2 linked regions of the Ovis aries genome follow. The protein of the gene in region 1 purifies or fractionates together with the protein of each later gene. This does not show direct contact. Links are inferred from orthologs where the notes say so. Each region holds a gene or a part of one and is shown in the gene's direction. Other genes may lie near its edges.

Region 1 (4,839 bases):
AGCTCCTTCACGACCAAGTAGGGGTAACCCAGTTTGGCCCCTACAAGCAACTGTTCCTGCAGACCTATGCCCGAGGCCGTACCACCTATCAGGCTCTGCCCTGCCTGCCCTCCATGTATGGCTATCCTAATCGCAACTGGTAAGGCCCCTTGCTTCTCTCTGTTCCAGCTTGTGGTAGATATTCCAGATGGTAGCCTCAGGGAATATCAGCATTGTCCCAAAGCTGATGTTTCCTAGTAGGAAAAGATCTTTGGCTTGCCACTTTTCCCTGGCTTTTTTCACTGTAGGCCGTTGTGATCGTGTTTCCAGAAGTTAGGTTGAAGTGGGCTCCTAATCATCCTGTCTTCTTTCTGCTTTTCTCTTTCAGGAAGGATGCAGGGCTGAAGAATGGTGTACCAGCTGTGGGCCTGAAGCTTAATGACCTCATCCAACGGTTGCAGCTGTGCTACCAGCTCACCACAGTTGGCAAGTTTGAGGAGGCTGTGGAAAAATTCCGTTCCATTTTACTCAGTGTGCCACTTCTTGTTGTGGACAATAAACAAGAGATTGCAGAGGTAAGAGCAGTCTAGCTGCTTGTCATAGTGCTAGGCACCCCCCTAGTCTTGCATCTGTACCGTGACCTTCTTTTGTCCCCTCTCTCCAGGCTCAGCAGCTTATCACCATTTGCCGTGAGTACATTGTGGGTTTGTCCATGGAGATAGAAAGGAAGAAACTGCCCAAAGAAACTCTAGAACAGCAGAAGCGCATCTGTGAGGTAAGCCCTCTGAGCAGTACAGAGGCATTGTCCCTTTTACCCTCTGAATGAATGAATAGTAAGTCACTTCAGTCATGTCTGACTCTTTGCAACCCTCTGGGCTGTAGCCCGCCAGGCTCCTCTGTCCATGGGATTCTCCAGGCAAGAACACTGGAGTGGGTTGCCATTTCCATCTCCAGGGGATCTTCCCCACCCAGGGATCGAACCCGGGTCTCTTACCTCTCCTGCCCTGGCAGGTGGGCTCTTTACTGCTAGTGCCACCTGGGAAGCCTCTATGGAGTTTGAATTCTTTAGGTCTCAATATGGGGAGTGAGAGAAATTTGCACCTGTTTCTGTGACAGTAGTATGTATTTCTCCACCCTTCTTCCTCATCCCATAAGTTCTCTATAACTAGGAGGCAGAAGCTTTCTCTGTTTTATAGCCAGTCCGGTGTTTATTTGGTGGTTTTGTTGTGTTTTTAATGCGTGTGCAACAACTTATAAATGATCTATCCTAGCTTTAGCATCAGCCTGACATATGGTCCTCTTTCTGTCCACCAGATGGCAGCCTATTTCACCCACTCAAACCTGCAGCCAGTGCACATGATCCTGGTGTTGCGTACAGCCCTCAACCTCTTCTTCAAGCTCAAGAACTTTAAGACTGCTGCCACCTTTGCTCGGCGCCTGTTGGAACTTGGACCCAAGCCGGAGGTGGCTCAACAGGTATATGGGAACTCCTTCAGTGAGCATAGGAGAACTGGATCTCCTTTTACATGGAGGGGGTCAAAGACCAAGGTTCTTGTCTCAGAAACAAAGTGCTGTATTACAGCATTCAACAAAAGAGGCAACAAGATGCCATCCTCTGTTTACATACAGAGGATGAGGACCTCTGTATGGCATGCTGCTGCTAAGTCGCTTCAGTCATTTCCAACTCTGTGCAACCCCATAGACGGCAGCCCACCAGGCTCCCCTGTCCCTGGGATTCTCCAGGCAAGAACATTGGGGTGGGTTGCCATTTCCTTCTCCAGTGCGTGAAAGTGAAAAGTGAAAGTGAAGTCGCTCAGCTGTGTCCGACTCTTAGCCACCCCATGGACTGCAGCCTACCAGGCTTCTCCATCCATGTCATTTTCCAGGCAAGAGTACTGGAGTGGGGTGCCATTGCCTTCTCTGTGTATGGCATGAGGACCCCCTTTTTATTCCTGGAAACTAAACAAATACCTTACTCAGACATGGCTCCACTCTGAAAGTATGACCTGTGACATCAAATAGCTCCTCTGTAGCTGAAAGTCAGCCCCGAACTGTCCTTAAGTTCTAGGTTTCTCCTTATCAACACTAGTTACCTCTATATATATACATGTCCCATTACTTGTGCTTTCTGAAAGCTTTTTTATTTGGGCAGTGAAAGCCAGTTTTAACCCTTTCATGGCCAACCCTGAGAATTCTCAGACTTAGTGGAGAAGTATGGGTCTAGTTAGCCTTCCCCTGTAGCTCAGCTGGTAAAAGAATCCACCTGCACTGCGGGAGACCTGGGTTCAATCGTTGGGTTGGGAAGATCCCCTGGAGAAGGGAAAGGCTACCCACTCCAGTATTCTGGCCTGGAGAATTCCATGAACTGTATAGTCCATGGGGTCGCAAAAGTTGGACACGACTGAGCAACTTTTACTTCACTTCACTATGGGTCTAGTTCCATAGGGCCACTTTGGGATAGAAAAGGAAAAACCCTAATACAATAGGAATGGCAATTATTATTCCTTCATATGACCTGTGCAGAGAACTTACTCTGTATTCAGTCAGTACAATTGCTTCTTACATCAAAGAAGCTACTAACCATGGTGTTGAGGTCATTTGAGTTGTGGTGTGCAGTTTTCAGTCCTTTTAAACAAAACGTTCCTTCCCTCCCTTAGACCCGCAAAATCCTGTCTGCCTGTGAGAAAAACCCCACAGATGCCTATCAGCTCAATTATGACATGCACAACCCTTTCGACATCTGTGCTGCATCTTATCGGCCCATCTACCGTGGAAAGCCAGTGGAGAAATGTCCGCTCAGTGGGGCCTGCTATTCCCCTGAGTTTAAAGGTCAGATCTGCAAGGTCACTACGGTAAGTACTGTCCTTGAGAAATGAATCTAGAATATTGAGGGAAGGGGAAAGAAGGCATATTGGTCCTTTGGTTCCCTGTATTCCTGCCTCACACCTTAAGGTGATGACATTGGAGAAAGGTAGAACTTCTCCCCACCACTCCTTACGATCAGTAACCATAACAAAGCACTCTCCTGTCCTCACTAGGAGGGCAGGGAGTAGACCCTCTAGGCTTCTCACCCTCAAAATCCCCTAATTTTTTTTCTTCTTCCATAGGTGACAGAGATTGGCAAAGATGTGATTGGTTTGAGGATCAGCCCTCTGCAGTTTCGCTGAGGCCCCTTTCTGTGTATAGGGTCAAACACCATGTTTCCTGCATCTTCCTTAACTACTGTTCATGTTGGTGTTTAGTTCTCCCTGCCCTAAAATCTAATGTCCTTTTCTCTTCTTGTATGGCTAATCAAGTCTAAACCTGACTTTTTTTTTTGCCTCTGAGAACTTCTCATCTTCTCAAGGTGACTTATAGTTGTGGTCACACTTAGCCTTGCCTTCCCAGCGTAGATCTTTCAAAGAACATTTGTGATGAACATTTAAATAGTAAATTCCTTCAATATTTATCCTTTCCCTTTCCACCCCATGTGTGCCTTTTGTTAGAAAGAAATGAGATGTAATAAATAAGATAGCGTCTTTTACTCAGTCATAGCAAGCTCTTAGCCATCCCCATTTTCCTTGGACATTCAAACTCCTAAGCAGATAGAGCCTCTCTGTGCCCAGAAACTTGAAGTCTGAGAAGAAAGTGTTTGTTTTCCCAGAAATGCATATCACTTTTTGTTGATTTATTCTTTCTAAACATTGTTCTTGTATTTTGTTTCTCACACAAAATAAAGTAGATTTTTATGAGAGTTTTGTGGCTTGTCATTTGTTTCCTGGACATACTCACATTCCTCCTTACTTCATGTAGCTGCCCCATCCAAGCAGATATCTTTCCTTCAATAATTATTTTTAATTACAAAGGTAGTAAATACCTAGTGATTTTTTTGTTTTTAAAGTAAACTGTGAGAATGGGAGAAAGCAAGTAGTTCCCTATTCCATTGTTGACTGCAACCTTCCATCCATTGCTAATTAGTAATACACTGTATATAGTACAACATATTTTGCTTGTCATGTAGTAAGATTAATTTGGTAGAGTGATATAGTGTACCTTTGATTAAAATATATACTGTCATTTCAAATTCATGTTTTCAATAAACAGTACATTTAGTTCACAAATCAATAAATTTAGAAAGCTATTCAGTAATGTCTTCCTCCTCTGCTTTCCCTCAGCCACCCAGTTCCTATCACCTTCCCCAAAACAGGTAACTGCCGTTCTTAGCTTCCTTAAATCCTGCCAGAGGTTTTTTTTTAAATGTATATACAAGCAGATGTCAATGTGTTCTTCCCTATCCCCCTACTGTATCTAAATGGAAGCATACTACTTAAGGATTTTAAGTTGCCTTTTTATTGATGGATATACTTATTGATTGATATTTGACTGTTATAAACAGTGGTGCAATGAACATCTTGAACATACATTGTACAGGTGGGGAAAGTGAGCCTGGAGGATAAACTAGAATTGTGTGATTCCTACATCAAAGAGTGCAGGCCTGTGTGTCTTTTTAGCTTTAAAAGATACTTTCTTGCTACTTCCTTGGTGGTCCAGTGGTTAAGACTGTACTTCCACTCTATGGGGCACAGGTTCAATCCCTAGTTGGGGAACTAAGATCTCACATTAAAAAATTTTTTTAAAAAAGATGTTTTCTTAAACATAGTATCCCCAAAATATGTCTGCCTTCTCAAAAAATTTGCATACTAGTTTTATAACAGTTTCTCAAGTTACAAACATTCTTACTGTAACCTAGGCAAGTTGATCATTTCAGTAAGTTTTTTTTTAAGTTTAAAACTTAAATTATAAAATTAGTTTTGCATATCAACATAATGAACTAAGGGATATGAAAAAAGTGGACAATCCTCATGAAGCTTACATAATCTT
Region 2 (5,346 bases), on another chromosome or scaffold:
TCGCAGAGGACGTCATCATCGTGACCAGCAGGCGAGTCCCAGGTCCCTGATGGCTGCACCCATGCCGAGCCCGTCTTCTCCGAGCTCCCGCCGCTCAGTCCTCGGCCACGTGTTGCCAGCGCCCTTGCCTCCTTTGCTCTCTCCTCGCCCTCTCCTTCACTTACTCTGCCCAGCCATGGCGCCTCCAGGGGGGGCGGTTCTGCTTGTAATTCTCTGGCCTGGAGTTAGGCACAAACCGTCCCTTCCCTGCTTCCTCTTGGTCCGCTGAGGCAGCCCAGAGCCTCCACGGCGACTCCGGCTCTTCCCAGGAGAGCCCGGGAAGAAGCGACGGGGACGGGGGGCGGTGGGGTGCACGAAGCCCCCAGGCAGACTTTCCCACGAAGGGCTGCTGTGCTCAGGAGGCATTCGGCTCCGGGCCGCCCCTGGGCTCCATTCGCGTGCTTCTCCTCGACGCAGTTTGGGGGTTTGCTACCCATGCGTGTGTAGGCTCACTTAGAGAGTGTGGCAGACGTGGCTTCCGCAGCCCCAGAGCTTCCCGGGAGGTAACCCCACAGACCGGCACTGGGGGGGGAGGGGTGTGACGGCTGTGAGAGCAGGCCAGGAGGACCGCCAGCTTGAATCTGGGTCAGGCAAGGCCTCCTGGAACTGGGGGAGTGGAGTCCTGCAGGGCAAGGCAGGCAGAGCAGGACAAAGGTGGGGTGGGTGGAGTGCAGCTGCCAGGACCTGGGGGCAGTCCAGGGGCTTCTCCGTGACCCCTCAACGGGGAGAGTGGCAGGAAGTCCCACCTGGGGAGGTTGCCGTCGCAGCAGGGCAGTGACCCGGGCAGTGTGGAGTTTCATGGAGACCTCTTGATGAAGGGTTAGGAGCCCAGAGCAGACACCCATTAATAATGGAGACGGGCCTGCTGACCCGGTTGGGGTGGGTGGGGTGTGGGAGCAGGCCCGGCCCCCGCGTGAGGCCTGTGCCGTGTCCCCGTAGCCTGACCAAGGACATGACCGGCAAGGAGGACAGCTACCGGGGCCCGGCCGTGCGTGCCCTATGCCAGATCACCGACGTGAGTGCCCCGCTTGGGGAGGGGCGTGGGGTCCCCAGGGCGCACACCTGCTCCCCTCCTCCTGGCCTCTGCCCCACATCCTGTCGCCTGCGCCCCCACAGAGCACCATGCTGCAGGCCATCGAGCGCTACATGAAGCAGGCCATCGTGGACAAGGTGCCCAGCGTCTCCAGCTCCGCTCTCGTGTCTTCACTGGTGTGTAGCCTGGGGCCAGGGCTGGGGCTGGGCCTGGGCTGGGCTGGGGCGGGGCCTGGGCTGGGGCGGGGCCTGGGTTGGGGCGGAGCGGGGCTGGGGCTGGGGCAGGGGCAGGGGCAGGGGCAGGGGCAGGGGCAGGGGCAGGGGCAGGGGCAGGGGCTGCTCCGGAGGCTGAGCTGAGGAGACATCAAAGATCGCTTTCGCAAGGAAAACCAAAGCTGTGTGGCCCCAGTTGTGAGAGTCCCACCCCCTGCTCTGTGAAGAGTGCCCAGGGGTCTCTGGGTGGATTGAGGGCCCAGTTGGCGGCCTTGACCCATGCCCTGGGGTGACAGGTTTTGGGGATTTGAGCCTGGCAGGAAGTCCGCCAGGGCAGGAGGAGTGAGGGTGGGAGCCGTGCTGAGTCTGCGCCTTCTCGGAGGACCCCGACAGCAAGGTGTCCTGCCCGCCCCGCTCAGCGTGCCCTGTGCCCCACAGCACCTGCTCAAGTGCAGCTTCGACGTGGTCAAGCGCTGGGTGAATGAGGCCCAGGAGGCCGCGTCCAGTGACAACATCATGGTCCAGGTGAGTCGCGAACAGGGCAGGGATGCTAAAAATACTCAGGCGCTGGCCAGCAGGATGGGCTTTCATCACGGAGGTCCTGGCGGCCCCTGGCCGGAGCAGGCTTCAGTCCTTATCTCGTGGTGGGGAGACTTGGGGGTTTGAGGAAAAGAATCCAGGTCATCTCTTACAGGGAGAATTGGTGTACAGACTTGATGGGCTCATGCTAAAATACTGGCTTGGTTTAAAAACCAGCGAGTATTATTTTGGGTGTGTGATGCCATCTCCCTGGTGCCTGGTGAGGGTTCAGTGGCAGCCTCTGCCCTCCTGTCCAGACCTGCAGGCCCCCCGTGTGGGCATCTGTTCCCTCTCCCCATGTCTTAGTGGTGGATCTCGTTTCCAGGGCCCACTCTGGCCCCTCAAACCCTCCAGGATCACAGAGGCTTCTTCCCACGTAAAAGGCCCTGAGCGCCGCCCTAGTAAGGATTCCGGAGGGCAGAGGGGATGGTCTGTGCCTCCCCTCCCCCTGCTGGCTTCGCAGCAGCAGCCACGCATCCTGGGGCGGGGCCGGGGGGCCGAGGGCCTGCTGTAAGGGCGCCCGTCTGCACGGCCCCCGAGATGTCCTCAGCCCAGGCCGGCTCCGCTTCCTCTTTCTGGGCGGAGACCCCTGGTCTCCAGTTCCTCCGTCTGCGCGGCGCCTGGCGGGGTTGGGGGACGGAGGCCTGCAGAGTCCCAGGTGGCTCAGTGGGCGTGGCCCACACCTGGGCTCTGTGCCCACCCCAGAGGTGGGGAGCGGGCCCCGTGGCGTCAGGCCTCACTCGCGCTGCTCTACAACCCCCAGTACCACGCGCTGGGGCTCCTGTACCACGTGCGGAAGAACGACCGCCTGGCGGTCAGCAAGATGATCAGCAAGTTCACGCGGCATGGCCTCAAATCCCCCTTCGCCTACTGCATGATGATTCGCGTGGCCAGCCGGCAGCTGGAGGACGAGGACGGCAGGTAGTGGCACCGCGCCAGCCGCACACCCCCCCGAGCCCTCGCCCAGCCCCCAGGCGGCCCCCCAGCGTCCTCTTGCCGCCTGTCGTTGCAGCCGTGACAGCCCCCTGTTCGACTTCATCGAGAGCTGCCTGCGCAATAAGCACGAGATGGTGGTGTACGAGGCCGCCTCGGCCATTGTCAACCTGCCCGGGTGCAGCGCCAAGGAGCTGGCCCCAGCTGTCTCAGGTGCCCAGGCCCCGCCCCCCGCCCGCCCCGTGCAGCTGGGTCTCCCAGGGGCGAGGCCCTGCCTGGGGTGGACAGGTGCGCTCTCCTCATTTGGGGAGGCCATGCCAGTTGGGGGATAGGTGAGTGGGGGATTTGGGTCTGAACAGTCTCTGAGCCTTGGTCCCCAAACTGCGCCCGGTGCCCTGTCTGTGCCCCTTCCGGGGCCCCTGGGTTTCCTGGCTGCGGCGCGGTGGCAGCCCTCACCGGCCTCTGCCTCGCGGGGGCAGCCCTCACCGGCGTCTCCCCCCGCAGTGCTCCAGCTCTTCTGCAGCTCGCCTAAGGCCGCCCTCCGTTACGCCGCCGTCCGCACCCTCAACAAGGTGAGTTCGCAGTGGACAGAGTGGGGCCGGCCTTCCGACAGGGCTGGGGGCGGGGGCCCCCGCGGCAGGAGGTGCAGCCCTCCTGCAGCTAGATAGAGGTGCAGCTGGCCTCTATCCCCCAGGTGCTGGCGTGAGCCCACCTGAAGGGCCAGCAGAACAGTGGGAGGCCTCCCGTGGCCCGTCCGTGTCGTCACCTGTTTGCTCCCGGACAGGTGGCCATGAAGCACCCGTCCGCGGTGACGGCCTGCAACCTGGACCTGGAGAACCTCGTGACAGACGCAAACCGCAGCATCGCCACGCTGGCCATCACCACGCTGCTCAAGACGGGCAGCGAGGGCAGCATCGACCGTCTCATGAAGCAGATCTCCTCCTTCATGTCCGAGATCTCGGACGAGTTCAAGGTGCACAGGCTGCGCCTGCTGCGGGGCGGGCCGGGGCTGCCGCGGGGCCTCGCTGTGGCGCCATGCGAGGCGCTGCTCCCAGCCTCCGTCGGCGAGGCGGGCGGCTCCAGGCCTGTCAAGCCCTTTGTTGTGTCCCGTGTGCGCGCTGTCTTGTGCTGGGCAAAGTCTGGAGGGGCGAGCAGAGCAGCGCGCACGCCGGCCTGCCCTCGGAGCTCGCTTTCTGGGGCGGGACCACGGGAGTTGACTCCGGAGTGGACGGGATCGTCCCCCATGCTGGAGCAGCGAGGAGACCCTCAGGGCGGCAGTTCCCGGGGGAGCCGCCTGGGAGGACCTGGGAAGGGCCAGCCAGGGCGTGTGTGCGCTTGCCCTGAGCTCTGAGTAGATGAGCAGACGGGGGAGCCCCACAGTGTGGATCGGGGCCTTGGACCGCGGTGCTCGCTGCCCTGCCCGGGGGGCTCGGAGGTCCCCTCAGCCCCTGGCCTGCCGTGCCGCGGCCCGGCCCCACCTGAGGAGGGGCTCTGCTGGGCTCGGGGACTGGAGGAGCCGCCCGCGGGGCTGGGCCGCGGCTCACGCCTGTCTCCGGCACAGGTCGTGGTCGTGCAGGCCATCAGTGCGCTGTGTCAGAAGTACCCCCGCAAGCACGCCGTGCTCATGAACTTCCTGTTCTCCATGCTGCGGGAAGAGGTGAGCGTGGGTGGCCTGGCTGCTGGCTCCCGGGCAGGCGGGCCTGGAGCCACCTGTTAGCTGGCTGGCTTCTGGTGCCCGCAGCCCCCTTGGCTCCTTGTGTGCAGGCAGTGCAAACATGCCCCAGTCACTGTGGTTACAGTCGTAACTGACAACGTGCCCCCCTGGCCATATAGACTCAGCAGATGCCCAAGGCGATGCTTAAGCAGAAGATGAATAACAATCTGTCTGGTGTCATCTGGTATAGAAATATTCTAGCCATTGCAATGTTTCATAAAAAAAATTTTCCCACAAAAATCGGTCCTTGGTGCCAAAAAGGCTGGAGACCGCTGTCATAAAATACACACGACGTAGAATTCATCAAGGGCTTCCCATGTAACTCAGCTGGTAAAGAATCCGCCTGCTATGCAGGAGACCCCGGTTCGATTCCTTGGTCGGGAAGATCCGCTGGAGAAGGGATAGGCTACCCACTCCAGTGTTCTTGGGCTTCCCTGGTGGCTCAGCTGGTAAAGAATCTGCCTGCAGTGTGGGAGATCTGGGTTCGATCCTTGGGTTGGGAAGATCCCCTGCAGAAGGGAAAGGCTGCCCACTCCAGTATTCTGGCCTGGACATCAGTCCATGGGGTCACAAAGACCGAGTGCCTGTCACAGTAGAATTCGTCACCTTGTATATTGTTCAGTATTGTTAAATACCTTCACACAGGAGTGCAGTTAATTTCCAGAACTTTCTCATCCTGCAAAACTGAACTCTGTTGCCATTTAACGATAACCCCCTACTCTCTACCCCTCCAGTCTTTATACCGCCCACTCTTCCTTTGTTTCAAAGGTGGGAAGAAAATCAAGTCCCAGAGGTTTCTATTAAAGCGTCTTCAGTTAGTCCAGAATGGCCCCGGC

Evidence for each region. The genes of interacting proteins can lie anywhere in the genome.
Region 2: the proteins of COPA (region 1) and COPG1 purify together in Homo sapiens (affinity purification with mass spectrometry; 6 studies listed by BioGRID and IntAct, counting the BioPlex papers as one, with this or other methods). This does not show direct contact. The link is inferred for Ovis aries from reciprocal best matches to the Homo sapiens genes COPA and COPG1.

Annotation. Positions count from the first base shown.
Region 1 is NC_056054.1:111,311,149-111,315,987, reverse strand, and holds the end of COPA (coatomer subunit alpha), read left to right. Parts: intron 1-2; coding exon 3-139; intron 140-367; coding exon 368-554; intron 555-643; coding exon 644-754; intron 755-1,293; coding exon 1,294-1,455; intron 1,456-2,636; coding exon 2,637-2,831; intron 2,832-3,086; coding exon 3,087-3,146; 3' UTR 3,147-3,712; downstream 3,713-4,839. UniProt on the Homo sapiens protein: The coatomer is a cytosolic protein complex that binds to dilysine motifs and reversibly associates with Golgi non-clathrin-coated vesicles, which further mediate biosynthetic protein transport from the ER, via the Golgi up to the trans Golgi network.
Region 2 is NC_056072.1:59,021,158-59,026,503, forward strand, and holds part of COPG1 (coatomer subunit gamma-1), read left to right. Parts: coding exon 1-31; intron 32-978; coding exon 979-1,054; intron 1,055-1,155; coding exon 1,156-1,248; intron 1,249-1,722; coding exon 1,723-1,809; intron 1,810-2,626; coding exon 2,627-2,784; intron 2,785-2,875; coding exon 2,876-3,009; intron 3,010-3,300; coding exon 3,301-3,368; intron 3,369-3,580; coding exon 3,581-3,769; intron 3,770-4,357; coding exon 4,358-4,453; intron 4,454-5,346. UniProt on the Homo sapiens protein: The coatomer is a cytosolic protein complex that binds to dilysine motifs and reversibly associates with Golgi non-clathrin-coated vesicles, which further mediate biosynthetic protein transport from the ER, via the Golgi up to the trans Golgi network.